Stegostoma tigrinum: one gene and its partner. The protein of the gene in region 1 binds, or shares a complex with, the protein of each later gene. Links are inferred from orthologs where the notes say so. Each region holds a gene or a part of one and is shown on either strand. Other genes may lie near its edges.

Region 1 (6,975 bases):
TCTGTTAGCAAGGGGATTAAGGGTTATTGGAAGAAAGCAGAAGAGATCTGACTGAGAAACAGAAGCCATGTTTAAATGGCACAGCAGACTCAATGGGGAGAATGAGCTAAAGCTATTCTTATAACTTAAGCTCTTATGGTCCAACTGCTGAGTTTATCCAGCAATTTCAGATTTCCAACATCCACAGCAGATTGCTTTTAACTGAATGATCGGGACAGTTTGTAACACTCAGTATAAATAAACTTGATGAAAAGTTGGTGATATCAATCAGCTAAAGAAAAACTTAAATAATTGAATTGTCTTGATATTACAGAGAACTGAAATAAGCATTAAGGAAGTGTTACATCTTATAGAATGGCACTTCTTGAGAAAGAATCTAGAACTGGGGGCCATTTTAAAAATTAAGTCAACCATTTAAGACACTGATAAGACTATTCCTTACACGGTCTTTCTTTGGGACTTTCTTCCTCAAAGAGAAGTGAAAGCAAAGGTTTTGAATGTCTTTAAAGACAGAGACAGATTCTTGATAAGCAAGGGGTTAAAAATGTTTTCCGTAAATAGGAGCATCATACTTTTGGATTAGGTATGATCTTACTGAACTGAGGTAAGCACAAGGGGCTGTGTGTTCTAAATATGCATATTTTTATGCAATTAAGATGAGAGGAGGACAAGAAAGGTTAGTAATGGAGTTAATTAAAATATTGCCCTTGCTCTTTCAAAAGAAAAACATTTTCCAGATTGTAGATTGCAGCAATCTACAAAGTTACTTAATTCGCATGTATAAAAACTAATCAGACACTCTACTCACTTTCCCTGTTCTGAAATCATTACCGAGGTGGTCATTGTTTTCCGCTAAAAGTAAATAAATTACTCAGTTGAGGATAATTTTATTGCAATACCCAATCTTGTGAACATGTCAACAATCATCACAGGCTCCCTGAATCTCCTAACAGACAGTATTGTGGGAGTACCACAGTACTCTCATGTTCAGTACTCACACAGTACCTACCCACCACAAATGTTCTGTGATAATGGGAACTGCAGATGCTGGAGAATCCAAGATAACAAAAAGTGTGGAGCTGGAGGAACACAGCAGGCCAAGCAGCATCAGATGAGCTGTGTTCATCCAGCTCCACATTTTGTTATCACCACAAATGTTCTGCTTGTTCATAAAAGCAGCTCTGGTTACTTTCCAAGAGCAAATATACATCAGGACATTTGGGGAAAAAATGGTTTTGTCAGTGAGGCCTGCATTTCAAGTTAATTTTTAATGAAACTTGAGTCAAAGCTTATTTTTATTGCTCACGCAATAGCATGCCTAGATTTGAATGTGTAATGGGTGGCACAGTGCCTCAGTAGTTAGCACTGTTGCCTCACAGTGCCAGAGGCCCAGATTCAAGTGTACCCTCGGACGACTGTGTGGAGTTCGCACATTCTCCCTGAGGTCTGCGTGGGTTTTGTCCGGATGCGCCGGTTTCCTCCCACAGTCCAAAGACGTGCATGCTAACATGCCCGTAGTATTTAGGGATGTGTAGATTAGGTGGATTATAGACTGGGTCAGATGCTCCGAGGATCAGCATGGACTTGTTGGGCCTGTTTCCACACTGTAGGGATTCTACTCTATTCTGATATAGTATGTATATTATCATAGCCAAACCCAGTCCCACCACTACTGCATTGTAATAAGCAAAAGAGGCCAATTGTAGCCTTAAATATTCAATATCATTGGTGATGTTGTCCAGGACAAAGCATTAATTGCTGCTACTCAACATAGGAATAGAACTAAATCTTTTTAACAACACTGCCCAATAAAAACGTGCTAATCTCAATTTCAAATTACTTCATTTATGATCTTTACATAAGAAATTCCACTATCATTAGTCTAGCTTATATGCGACTGTCACTTTTTAAACTATAGTGATCAACTGACCTCGGAAACTCACTTGTATCAAACTGCTGCAGAAAACAGACCTGGAAATGCATCTGCACCACATTACTTGCAGTCAAAAAGATTGCTCATCTCATCTTCTTTAGAGCAAGTTGAGATGGGCAATAAATGCTGGCCTTGCACAAGATACCCACAATTCAAAAATAAGTCTGAACAGCTAATCTTCAAAAAAAGTGAAAAGGTTTTCTACAACCCTTAACATGAAAATATATTTTGAGCATCAGCTAACCAAATTATCTAGTACAAATTTTAACCTATTGAATACTTAACACATCAGGTTTATAAATATTAAGCAATTTATGTTTAGAAGTGTTAAATCAAAGAACTCGTGATTCATTTATTGTTGGCAAACCAACAATAAATTGTCCTTCTAAAAGTGATCTAAAATGATGACAATTACAAGTCACTTTTTAGAAAGAACTGGAAGCGCTTCAAAGGCCTTATTAAAAATCATAATCAAGAGCAAAATCCATTTGTATCTCGACCAGCCATAAAGGCTAAATTGGGCAAGGTCAAATTTCCTCCTACAGGCTTTCAACCTGATTGGTTTCGAGGATAAAAAGGTTGCTTACTGCCTCCTTCTTCAGAGCAATTTGAAATGGGTAATAAATGGGTCACCATGGACATTATCAAATGCAATTTCGAATCATTTTAATTTCAATTCTCAGCCTTGGCTAGAACCTCTTTCAGTTCCACTTGACTAGACTGAGAAATCTAACTTTGAAACAATTCACCCACAAATCCTTCCTAATTCACGTTCCAACATAAGTAGTCACTCTGGACATAACGAGGCATAACTGGAAAACCGGGTTCGTTCAACTATCAATAAAATTCAGCACATTTCCAAAACTTCCTTTTGGCAATATTAGCTCAATATAAAACCAGTTCACAATACCCTCCAGCTTTTCATCTCTGAGATGTATTACGAACTACGTGTTCTCCACAGTCTGTGAAACTTTCACAATTATTTTACGGAACAGTTCTCTTACCTCATAAAAAGCCTGAACCATTTCCACTAGAACCCACTGCTGCCCGATCGCCATCTTGTTACCAAATAACAGCTGACTGCATGAAAAATGGAATAATCAGAAACATACGCATGCGCACTTACGCAAGCCAGTTCAAGAAGGCGGCTGCCATCGTTGATATGGTCACCAACTCCAATCACGTGGTGCTCACCAATAATCAGCTGATTCCGGGAACACATTTAATTAAGGAATGACAAAGTGTGGAGCTGGATGAATATAGCATGCCAAGCAGCATCTTAGGAGCACAAAAGCTGACATTTCGGGCCGAAACCCTTCATCAGAAAAGTTCTAGGGCTGAAACGTCAGCTTTTGTGCTCCTAAGATGCTGCTTGGCCTGCTGTGTTCATCCAGCTCCACACGTTGTTATCTTGGATTCTTCAGCATCTGCAGTTCCCATTATCTCTGATCACAAATTTACTTAGCACTGCTGTCTTTGTCAAACAATTTAAAAAACTGAACAAAAATTGTGTAATAAAGGCAAACTACAGCAGCTGCTGGAAATCTAAAATAAATTAGATGTTCCTTTGGAGAAAGTGAAGTGACCAGCCAGGCATTTGCTTTTGTTCTAAAAGATACAACCTCCTCCAATTAATCACAGCTCTTGCAGATGTTTAAATAACCGTCACTCACGTCATGATCCTTTAAAAACACCACTTACAGTTTGAGACAGCCAATAAATGAGCCACAGTCAAATGAGCCGGTGAGCCTTATGTCTGTTAGAACATAGAACATAGAACATTGAACAGTACAGCACAGAACAGGCCCTTCAGCCCACAATGTTGTGCCGACCATTGATCCTCATGTATGCACCCTCAAATTTCTGTGACCATATACATGTCCAGCAGTCTCTTAAATGACCCCAATGACCTTGCTTCCACAACTGCTGCTGGCAACGCATTCCATGCTCTCACAACTCTCTGCGTAAAGAACCTGCCTCTGACATCCCCTCTATACTTTCCACCAACCAGCTTAAAACTATGACCCCTCGTGCTAGCCATTTCTGCCCTGGGAAATAGTCTCTGGCTATCAACTCTATCTATGCCTCTCATTATCTTGTATACCTCAATTAGGTCCCCTCCTCCTCCTTTTCTCCAATGAAAAGAGACCGAGCTCAGTCAACCTCTCTTCATAAGATAAGCCCTCCAGTCCAGGCAGCATCCTGGTAAACCTCCTCTGAACCCTCTCCAAAGCATCCACATCTTTCCTATAATACGGCGACCAGAACTGGACGCAGTATTCCAAGTGCGGTCTAACCAAAGTTTTATAGAGCTGCAACAAGATCTCACGACTCTTAAACTCAATCCCCCTGTTAATGAAAGCCAAAACACCATATGCTTTCTTAACAACCCTGTCCACTTGGGTGGCCATTTTAAGGGATCTATGTATCTGCACACCAAGATCCCTCTGTTCCTCCACGCTGCCAAGAATCCTATCCTTAATCCTGTACTCAGCTTTCAAATTCGACCTTCCAAAATGCATCACCTCGCATTTATCCAGGTTGAACTCCATCTGCCACCTCTCAGCCCATCTCTGCATCCTGTCAATATCCCGCTGCAGCCTACAACAGCCCTCTACACTGTCAACGACACCTCCGACCTTTGTGTCGTCTGCAAACTTGCTGACCCATCCTTCAATTCCCTCGTCCAAGTCATTAATAAAAATTACAAACAGTGGAGGCCCAAGGACAGAGCCCTGTGGAACTCCACTCACCACTGACTTCCACGCAGAATATTTTCCTTCTACTACCACTCGCTGTCTTCTGTTGGCCAGCCAATTCTGTATCCAAGCAGCTAAGTTCCCCTGTATCCCATTCCTCCTGACCTTCTGAATGAGCCTACCATGGGGAACCTTATCAAATGCCTTACTGAAGTCCATATACACCACATCCACAGCTCGACCCTCATCAACCTTTCTAGTCACATCCTCAAAAAACTCGATAAGGTTTGTAAGGCATGACCTACCCCTCACAAAGCCGTGTTGACTGTATTTGATCAAGCCATGCTCTTCCAGATGGTCATAAATCTTATCCCTCAGAATCCTTTCTAACACGTTGCAGACGACAGACGTGAGACTTACCGGTCTATAATTGCCGGGGATTTCCCTATTTCCTTTCTTGAAGAGAGGAATTACATTTGCCTCTCTCCAGTTCCCAGGTACGACTCCAGTGGAGAGCGAGGATGCAAAGATCTTCGCAAGTGGCGAAGCAATTGCATTTCTCGCTTCCCAAAGCAGCCGAGGACAAATCTGATCCGGGCCTGGCGACTTGTCAATCTTAATGTTTGACAAAATTTTCAGCACATCAGCTTCCTCTATCTCTATCCATTCCAGCATGCACACCTGCTCTTCAAAGGTTTCATTCACTACAAAGTTCGTTTCTTTCGTAAAGACAGAAGCAAAAAACTCATTTAGGGCTTCCCCTACCTCCTCAGGCTCCACACACAAGTTCCCTATGCTATCTCTGATCGGCCCTACTCTTTCTTTGACCATTCTCTTATTCCTCACGTAAGTGTAAAATGCCTTTGTGTTTTCCCGGATTCCTTCTGCCAAGCCTTTCTCGTGCCCCCTCCTGGCTCTCCTCAGACCATTTTTGAGCTCCTTCCTTGCCTGCATGTAATCCTCTCTAGCTGAACTTGACCCTAGCTTCCTCCACCTTATGTAAGCTACCTTCTTCCTTTTCACTAGAAGCTCCACCACTCTCGTCATCCAAGGTTCCTTAATCTTACCCCTTCTTGCCTGTCTCAGAGGGACATATTTACTCATCACTCCCAACAACTGTTCCTTAAACCGTCTCCACATGTCTATAGTTCCCTTACCATGGAACAACTGCTCCCAGTCCATGCTTCCTAACTCATGTCTAATCGCATCATAGTTTCCTCTTCCCCAATTAAATATCCTCCCATTCTGCCTAATCCTCTCCTTCTCCATAGCTATGTAGAATGTGAGGCAGTTATGGTCACTATCACCAAAATGCTCTCCCACCACAAGATCTGATACCTGCCCCGGCTCGTTTCTGAGCACCAAGTCTAGAATGGCCTCTCCCCTCGTCGGCCTGTCAACGTACTGTGTTAGGAAACCCTCCTGAACACACCTTACAAAAACAGCTCCATTCAAATCTTCTGCTCGAAGGAGGTTCCAATCAATATTAGGAAAGTTAAAGTCACCCATTACAACAACCCTACTGCGTGCACACTTTTCCAAAATCTGTCGACCTATGCTTTCTTCAATCTCCCTGCTGCTATTGGGGGGCCTGTAGTAAACCCCTAACGAGGTGTCTACTCCCTTGCTGTTCCTAATTTCCACCCATACTGACTCAGTAGGCAGATCTTCCTCGACAAAGGAAGCTTCTGTAGCTGTGATACCCTCTCTGATTAGTAGTGCTACACCCCCTCCTCTTTTTCCCCCCTCCCTATTCTTTTTAAATGTTCTAAACCCTGGAACATCCAGCAACCATTCCTGCCCATGAGAAACCCATGCCTCTGTTATGGCCACAACATCATAGCACCAGGTACTGATCCATGCTCTAAGTTCATCACTTTTATTCCTGATACTCCTTGCATTAAAGCAAACACACTTGAACCGATCCCTTGGTTCCTTCCCAGGAAAATCCTTTCCACTAGCTGGTCTACCTCTTGCTACTGCCTCACCTGCATCAACGCTCACCTCCCTGGCACCAGGGAGGCAAAGTTATAGGAAAAGTTTTGGAAAGGATTATAAGAGATAGGATTTATCATCATCTAGCAAGCAACAATTTGATTGGAGATAGTCAGCATGGATTCGTCAACGGCAGGTCATGTCTCACTAACCTCATTGAGCTTTTTGAGAAGGTGGCCAAGCATGTGGATGTGGGAAGGGCAGTTGACGTGGTGTGCGTGGACTTCAGTAAAGCCTTTGATAAGGTTCCACATGGTAGGCTGTTAGAGAAAATACAGAGCCATGGGATTGAGGGAGATTTAGCAGTTTGGATTAGAAACTGGCTTTCTGTAAGAAGGCAACAAGTGG
Region 2 (7,910 bases), on another chromosome or scaffold:
GAAGCTGTGCCTGGGGGCACTGGGGGCGGGGGGGGAGGAGAAGCTGTGCCTGGGGGCACTGGGGGGGGGGGAGGAGAAGCAGTGCCTGGGGGCGGGGGGGGGGGGGGAGAAAGCAGTGCCTGGGGGCGGGGGGGGGGGGAGAAGCAGTGCCTGGAGGCACTGGGGGGGGGGGAAGCAGTGCCTGGGGGCGGGGGGGGGGGGAGAAGCAGTGCCTGGGGGCACTGGGGGCGGGGGGGGGGGGGAGAAAGCAGTGCCTGGGGGCCGGGGGGAGAAAGCAGTGCCTGGGGGCACTGGGGGCGGGGGGGGGGAGAAAGCAGTGCCTGGGGGCACTGGGGGCGGGGGGGGAAGCGGGGCACTGGGGGCGGGGGGGGGAAGCGGGGCACTGGGGGCGGGGGGGGGGGAAGCGGGGCACTGGGGGCGGGGGGGGGGGAAAGCGGGGCACTGGGGGCGGGGGGGGAAAGCGGGGCACTGGGGGCGGGGGGGGAAAGCGGGGCACTGGGGGCGGGGGGGGAAAGCGGGGCACTGGGGGCGGGGGGGGGGAAAGCGGGGCACTGGGGGCGGGGGGGGAAAGCGGGGCACTGGGGGCGGGGGGGGAAAGCGGGGCACTGGGGGCAGGGGGGGAAAGCGGGGCACTGGGGGCGGGGGGGGAAAGCGGGGCACTGGGGGCGGGGGGGGAAAGCGGGGCACTGGGGGCGGGGGGGGAAAGCGGGGCACTGGGGGCGGGGGGGGGAAAGCGGGGCACTGGGGGCGGGGGGGGAAAGCGGGGCACTGGGGGCGGGGGGGGGAAAGCGGGGCACTGGGGGCGGGGGGGGAAAGCGGGGCACTGGGGGCGGGGGGGGGAAAGCGGGGCACTGGGGGCGGGGGGGGAAAGCGGGGCACTGGGGGCGGGGGGGGGGAAAGCGGGGCACTGGGGGCGGGGGGGGGGAAAGCGGGGCACTGGGGGCGGGGGGGGGAAAGCGGGGCACTGGGGGGGGGGGGAAAGCGGGGCCCTGGGGGCACTGGGGGGGGAAGCAGTGCCTGGGGGCACTGGGGGGGGAAAGCAGTGCCTGGGGGCACTGGGGGGGAAAGCAGTGCCTGGGGGCACTGGGGGGGGAAAGCAGTGCCTGGGGGCACTGGGGGGGAAAGCAGTGCCTGGGGGCACTGGGGGGGAAAGCAGTGCCTGGGGGCACTGGGGGGGAAAGCAGTGCCTGGGGGCACTGGGGGGGAAAGCAGTGCCTGGGGGCACTGGGGGGGAAAGCAGTGCCTGGGGGCACTGGGGGGGAAAGCAGTGCCTGGGGGCACTGGGGGGGAAAGCAGTGCCTGGGGGCACTGGGGGGGAAAGCAGTGCCTGGGGGCACTGGGGGGGAAAGCAGTGCCTGGGGGCACTGGGGGGGAAAGCAGTGCCTGGGGGCACTGGGGGGGAAAGCAGTGCCTGGGGGCACTGGGGGGGAAAGCAGTGCCTGGGGGCACTGGGGGGGAAAGCAGTGCCTGGGGGCACTGGGGGGGAAAGCAGTGCCTGGGGGCACTGGGGGGGAAAGCAGTGCCTGGGGGCACTGGGGGGGAAAGCAGTGCCTGGGGGCACGGGGGGGGAAAGCAGTGCCTGGGGGCACGGGGGGGGAAAGCAGTGCCTGGGGGCACGGGGGGGGAAAGCAGTGCCTGGGGGCACGGGGGGGGAAAGCAGTGCCTGGGGGCACTGGGGGGGAAAGCAGTGCCTGGGGGCACTGGGGGGGAAAGCAGTGCCTGGGGGCACTGGGGGGGAAAGCAGTGCCTGGGGGCACTGGGGGGGAAAGCAGTGCCTGGGGGCACTGGGGGGGAAGCAGTGCCTGGGGGCACTGGGGGGGAAAGCAGTGCCTGGGGGCACTGGGGGGGAAAGCAGTGCCTGGGGGCACTGGGGGGGGAAGCAGTGCCTGGGGGCACTGGGGGGGGAAGCAGTGCCTGGGGGCACTGGGGGGGGAAGCAGTGCCTGGGGGCACTGGGGGGGGAAGCAGTGCCTGGGGGCACTGGGGGGGGAAGCAGTGCCTGGGGGCACTGGGGGGGGAAGCAGTGCCTGGGGGCACTGGGGGGGGAAGCAGTGCCTGGGGGCACTGGGGGGGGAAGCAGTGCCTGGGGGCACTGGGGGGGGAAGCAGTGCCTGGGGGCACTGGGGGGGGAAGCAGTGCCTGGGGGCACTGGGGGGGGAAGCAGTGCCTGGGGGCACTGGGGGGGGAAGCAGTGCCTGGGGGCACTGGGGGGGGAAGCAGTGCCTGGGGGCACTGGGGGGGGAAAGCAGTGCCTGGGGGCACTGGGGGGGGAAAGCAGTGCCTGGGGGCACTGGGGGGGGAAAGCAGTGCCTGGGGGCACTGGGGGGGAAAGCAGTGCCTGGGGGCACTGGGGGGGAAAGCAGTGCCTGGGGGCACTGGGGGCGGGGGGGGGAGCAGTGCCTGGGGGTGGGGGTCAGTGTCAGGAGGGGGAAGGGTGTGGGGGGTGAGAGCGTCAGTATCTGGGGGGGGGGCGGGAGAGATGGGTGCAGGGGGTGAGAGTGTCAGTGTCTGGGGGGGGGGGAACGGGGGGAGCAGTATCTGGGAGAGCGTGCGGGGAGGGAAGTAGTGACTGGGGGTGGGGGGTGGTTGCGGGGGAAAGTAGTGTCTGGAGGAGGCGGTGAGGGAGTGCGGGGGTGGGGAAGCAGTGTCTGGGGGAGGGGGTGCGTGGGGGGAGCAGTGTCTGGGGGAGGGGTGTGTGCGGGGGGAGTTGGGGGGGAGGGGAGGGAAAGCAGTGTCGGGGGGTGCGGGCAGTGTCTGGGGGAGAGGGACAAAGGGGTGGTGTGGGGGTGGGGAGGGGGAAATCCCTGTGTTCTCCCGCACTGGGCCCAAGAAAACGGCACGGCCCGGAAACGCCGCCACCTTCTCACCCGGGCCCCCGGAGCCCGTTGCAGAGTCACCACCAACCGCCAAGCAGGAGCCAACCTACCGGACATTAATTATCCAGGACCCCGTCCTGTTGCCAACCCCCTTCTCGTCGACAGCGGCGGAGCCGGAGCCGCCCTATTCCACCGTGCACCACCACTGGCAGCGCCACCTCCGCTCCGGAGGAATACTTGCAGTTAGAGCCGGTGCAGCACCACGTAAAAGTTGAGCTGCGTGTGATGGTGATCTGTGGTAATGGGAACTGCAGATGCTGGCGAATCCAAGATAACAAAGTGCGAAGCTGGATGAACACAGCAGGCCAAGCAGCATCTGAGGAGCGCAAAAGCTGACGTTTCGGGCCTAGCTCCTTCATCAGAAAAAGCACGGTGATAGTATGTCCATGTGATAGTTGCGGTAATAAGTGATAGATGGAGGCACCATCAATATGAAGGTAGGACTTCGTCTCCACAAGGACTGTGCAGAGGTTACTCATCTCCTGCCAGCAGATTGATGGGAATGAAGTCACGCATGGTTACCCCTCACCATCTGCCACAGACCCAGTCCAGCAACTACGATCTTTAAAACTCAATCAACTTGATCAGTCATGGTGCTGCTGAGCCAATCTTGGTGATGGACATTAAAATCACCCATCCAGAGTACCTTCTACACCCTTGCCAAATTCATCGCTTCTTTCATATTGAACAACACTTGGAAGAGTGTTGATTGATCAGCTAATGGAGGACAGTATGTAGTAATTGGGCAGGGGTTTTACATGCTCATGTTTGATCTGATCCCATGAGACTTCTCAGTAGCCACAGTTAATGTTGACTCCCAGGCTGACTTCCTCCTGGGTATATACCACTGTGCCACCCCCTTTCCTAGGTTTATACTAGGTAGGACAGGACATACCCAGGAATGTGATGCTGTTTTTTTTTCTTGGATATTGTATGTAAGGTATAATTCCCTTAGTATGACTATATCAGGCTGTTGCTTGACTGTTCTGAGACAACTCTCCCAATTTTTGCACTAGGTCCCAGATATTGGTGGGGAAGATTTTTAGAGGCGAGAGGGCTGAGTTTGCCATTGTCTTTTTTAATGTCTCAGGCAATGCCATGTGGTCCACCCAGTTTCTTTTTGAGATAACACAGTGTGGAACTGGAGGAGCACAGCAGGCCAAGCAGCATCAAAGGAGCAGGAAAGTTGATGTTTCGGGTCAGGACCCTTCTTCAGAAATGGGGGAGATCAAAGAGAGCTCTGAAATAAATAGAGAAATATAAGTGGGATGGTGATAGGTGAGTGCAGGTGAGGCAGTGGTGGAAGAGAAGATGGACATGTTGTGTCAGGTTAAGGTGGGGATGAGAGGGAGAGTTGGTCATGGGAAGAGGCTGGGTGTGGGGAGATTTTGAAACTGGTGATGGCCACATGGAGATCATTGAGTCGCAGGGTCCCAAGGCAGAATATGAGGTGCTGCTCCTTCAGTTTCTTTTTGAGCCTTTTTAGGAGTTAAAATGATCTAGAAAGCTACTCAGTTGTATTAAGAGGGCAGCTAAGAGTTAATCACATTGTTTTGGGTCCTCTTCACAAATTATTAATTGTATTCAATCTAAAAATAGTGAGAAGTGTGTTCCTTCACTGTACATACATGGCACCATTCACATTAACTTCGAATTAGACAAGGAAAAAAGAATGATAACTTTAGAGTCCAAATTTTCTTTCCACTGTTGCAGTCGTACTCGGTTTTCCAGCTCTTGCCATGCCTCTGCCAGAGTCCCACTCCAGGCTTTGCAGCCCACGCCATGCCACCACCGGTGCCAGGAGCGACTCACCCTGTCGTTATCTTGCTGGTTTTGGAGTCACACATGGGCCAGACCAGGTATGAATGGCAGTTTTTGTTCATTAGGAGATCAGATGCATTTTTACAAAATGAACAATGGCTTCGTGTTCCTCACTGGACATTTATCCCCCCCAGATTTTTTTATCAACTTCAAGTTCCACATCTGCTATGGTGAGACTTAAACCGAGGTTCTCAAACATTAACTTGATCTCTGGGTTACATATCCAGCAGAAATTTCACCTGCCAACACCTCCCTATTTATTATAGATTTGTGTTTGACTCTTATTACCGCAATTCTGTGCTCTGATCATCAAATGGTTCTACTGCACTTACAATTTCTCAACATTAATGCATTAGCCACCTTCATCTTCTACATATTTGAATATTACTTCAAGCAGAAAATGACAATATTTGCTCCATTCTAGGGTTACCAATGTGCACTGTTACCATTTTACCCTTTCAAGCTTCATCCTAAACTTCTGCTGCCGACATTCCTAATTTTAACCGCTGCAATAGTCAGCAATGGACTAATTCTTAGCTACTTCCACTTGCTACCTCAGACATCTTTACATACATCCCCTCAATGACAAACGCTTCCTCCTCTTTTGCTGCCTCTGTGGCTTCATGCCATTTTTATGCCGGTGTGCTCACTCTATCTTCTGCAAATCCAGAGTGATCTGCCTCATGCCCAAAGCATTCTGTACCCTCTTTAGTGATACCTCTGGATGACCCAAAGACCATCACTGTCCCTACTCTGCTACTGATCTTAGTTTGCTGCAGCTTAGGTTGTTCACTCTACCTCCACAGCTAGAACCAAAAATACACAGTTCCATTTAAGAAAATAAAAAGCTGTGCACTTGAATCTAATCATCGAGATGTCCATGCTCAAATGATTTGGAAAATTGCTCGTTTCCAATTCTACCAATGGTTTCAAAGTGACAACCCAGACAGGTTTTAATCACTATTCATATGCTCCTTTATATTTAATGGAAAGAAAACAAGAATGAAATATTATCAAAGGAAAAAACAACATTACTCAAATTCTTTTTTCAATTCATAGAATGATTTTCTGTTTTCGTCAGACTTCATCCAAATTATCTGGAGGCAATACAGTTTGGAACCCAGAGATCAGATTTTCTTGGATCAGCCTCTATAAAGCTCGCCAGCAAAAGAGGAGTACCGATGAAATGTCTCGTTAAAATAATACTATTGATCCCATAGTAGCACAAAGCTTCTGGAGGCTCCTAATCTTCAGACCATCAGCAAACATTGAGAATGGAAACAAAGTCACTGATGATTCGGTAACTACAGGCACCCAGTGTCACCTTTGGCAAAGAACTTGTTGTCAAGACTGGAAGGAACCAATGCTACAATCAGAATCATAAAATGCTGGAGCAACTCAGTTTTATGTTGAATCCAGTAGCAATTCTGAACAATTATATTGTACTACAAACATTAACATTGTTTCTCTCTTCGCTGCTGGACTTGCTCAGTTTCTCCAACAGTTTGTATTTCTCTTTCAGATTTTCAGCGTCGGCAGTATTTTTATGAGGAGGTACCAGTGCTACCAACACGAGGAGATACAATTCCAGATTTAAGTAGGCCACCTGGGAAAATACCTAGTTCTGCAATGTCCTGGGGGCGTGGTGGTGGTGGGGTGGGATTAGCCTCCTACAGCCAGAAACCTCATGCCACGAGCAGCTCCAAACAGTGGAGCATTTTCTCATAATTCCCAGGAACAGGAAGAACCCCTCAACATTTTAAATAAATACATGGGATGCACACAAAGTGTTATTAAATACAAGGCTACAGACCAAGAGATGCTGGTGAATCCAAGATAACAAAGTGTGGAGCTGGATGAACACAGCAGGCCAAACAGCATCTCAGGAGCACCAAAGCTGAAGTTTCAGGCCTAGACCCTTCATCAGAGAGGGGGATGGGGAGGCGGACTGAAGATGGATAGAGGAGAAGATAGGTGGAGAGGAGAGTATAGGTGGGGAGGGGATAGGCCAGTCCAGGGAGGACGGACAGGTCAAGGAGGCGGGATGAGGTTGGTAGGTGAGAAATGGAGGTGCGGCTTGAGGGGGAGGAGGGGATAGGTGAGAAGAAGAACAGGTTAGGGAGGCGGGGACGAGCTGGGCTGGTTTGGTGATGCAGTGGGTGGAGGGGACAAGCTGGGCTGGCACCTGCACATCTGCCAATGTAGTATACTGTATCCACTGTACCCGCTGTGGCTTCCTCTACATTGGGGAAACCAAGCGGAGGCTTGGGGACTGCTTTGCAGAACACCTCCGCTCGGTTCGCAATAAACAACTGCAGTCGTGAACCATTTTAACTCCCCCTCCCATTCCTTAGATGACTTGTCCATCATGGGCCTCCTGCAGTGCCACAATGATGCCACCCGAAGGTTGCAGGAACAGCAACTCATATTCCGCTTGGGAACCCTGCAGCCCAATGGTATCAATGTGGACTTCAGAAGCTTCAAAATCTCCCCCTCCCCCGCTGCATCATACAACCAGCCCAGCTCATCCCCTCCCCCCACTGCATCACCAAACCCAGTTCGTTCCCACCTCCCTAACCTGTTCTTCCTCTCACTTATCCCCTCCTCCCACCTCAAGCCACACCTCCATTTCCCACCTACCAACCTCATCCCGCCTCCTTGACCTGTCCGTCCTCCCTGGACTGACCTATCCCCTCCCCACCTATCTTCTCCTCTTTCCATCTTCAGTCCGCCTCCCCCTCTCTGATGAAGGGTCTAGGCCCGAAACGCCAGCTTTTGTGCTCCTGAGATGCTGCTTGGCCTGCTGTGTTCATCCAGCTACACACTTTGTTTTCATGTCAGGAGTTGCTGAGGTGGTATGGGCTGAGGTCAGAAACAGGAGGGGAGAGGTCACACTGCCTGGAGTTTTTTTATAGGCCTCCACGAAGTTCTAGGGATGTGGAGGAGGGATTGACAAAACGATTCTGGGCAGGAGTGAAAGGAACAGGAAGGTCATTATGGGAGACTTTAACTTCCCCAACATTGACTGGAAATGCTATAACTCTAGTACGTCAGATGGGTCAGTGTTTGTCCAATATGTGCAGGACAATTTCCTGACACAGTATGTCGAAGGGCAACAAGAGGGGAGGCCACACTAGATCTAGGACTTGGTAATGAACCAGGCCAGGTGTTTGATTTAGTGATAGGTGAGCACTTTGGATAGAGTGACCATAAT

The links. The genes of interacting proteins can lie anywhere in the genome.
Region 2: sptlc1 (region 1) and sptssa share a complex: the UniProt entries of both Homo sapiens proteins name them as parts of the serine palmitoyltransferase (SPT) complex. The link is inferred for Stegostoma tigrinum from reciprocal best matches to the Homo sapiens genes SPTLC1 and SPTSSA.

Annotation. Positions count from the first base shown.
Region 1 is NC_081356.1:51,368,088-51,375,062, reverse strand, and holds the start of sptlc1 (serine palmitoyltransferase 1), read right to left. Parts: upstream 3,011-6,975; 5' UTR 2,992-3,010; coding exon 2,938-2,991; intron 1-2,937. UniProt on the Homo sapiens protein: Component of the serine palmitoyltransferase multisubunit enzyme (SPT) that catalyzes the initial and rate-limiting step in sphingolipid biosynthesis by condensing L-serine and activated acyl-CoA (most commonly palmitoyl-CoA) to form long-chain bases.
Region 2 is NC_081363.1:58,723,442-58,731,351, reverse strand, and holds the start of sptssa (serine palmitoyltransferase small subunit A), read right to left. Parts: upstream 3,052-7,910; 5' UTR 2,926-3,051; intron 2,905-2,925; exon of another isoform or gene 2,867-2,904; intron 1-2,866. UniProt on the Homo sapiens protein: Component of the serine palmitoyltransferase multisubunit enzyme (SPT) that catalyzes the initial and rate-limiting step in sphingolipid biosynthesis by condensing L-serine and activated acyl-CoA (most commonly palmitoyl-CoA) to form long-chain bases.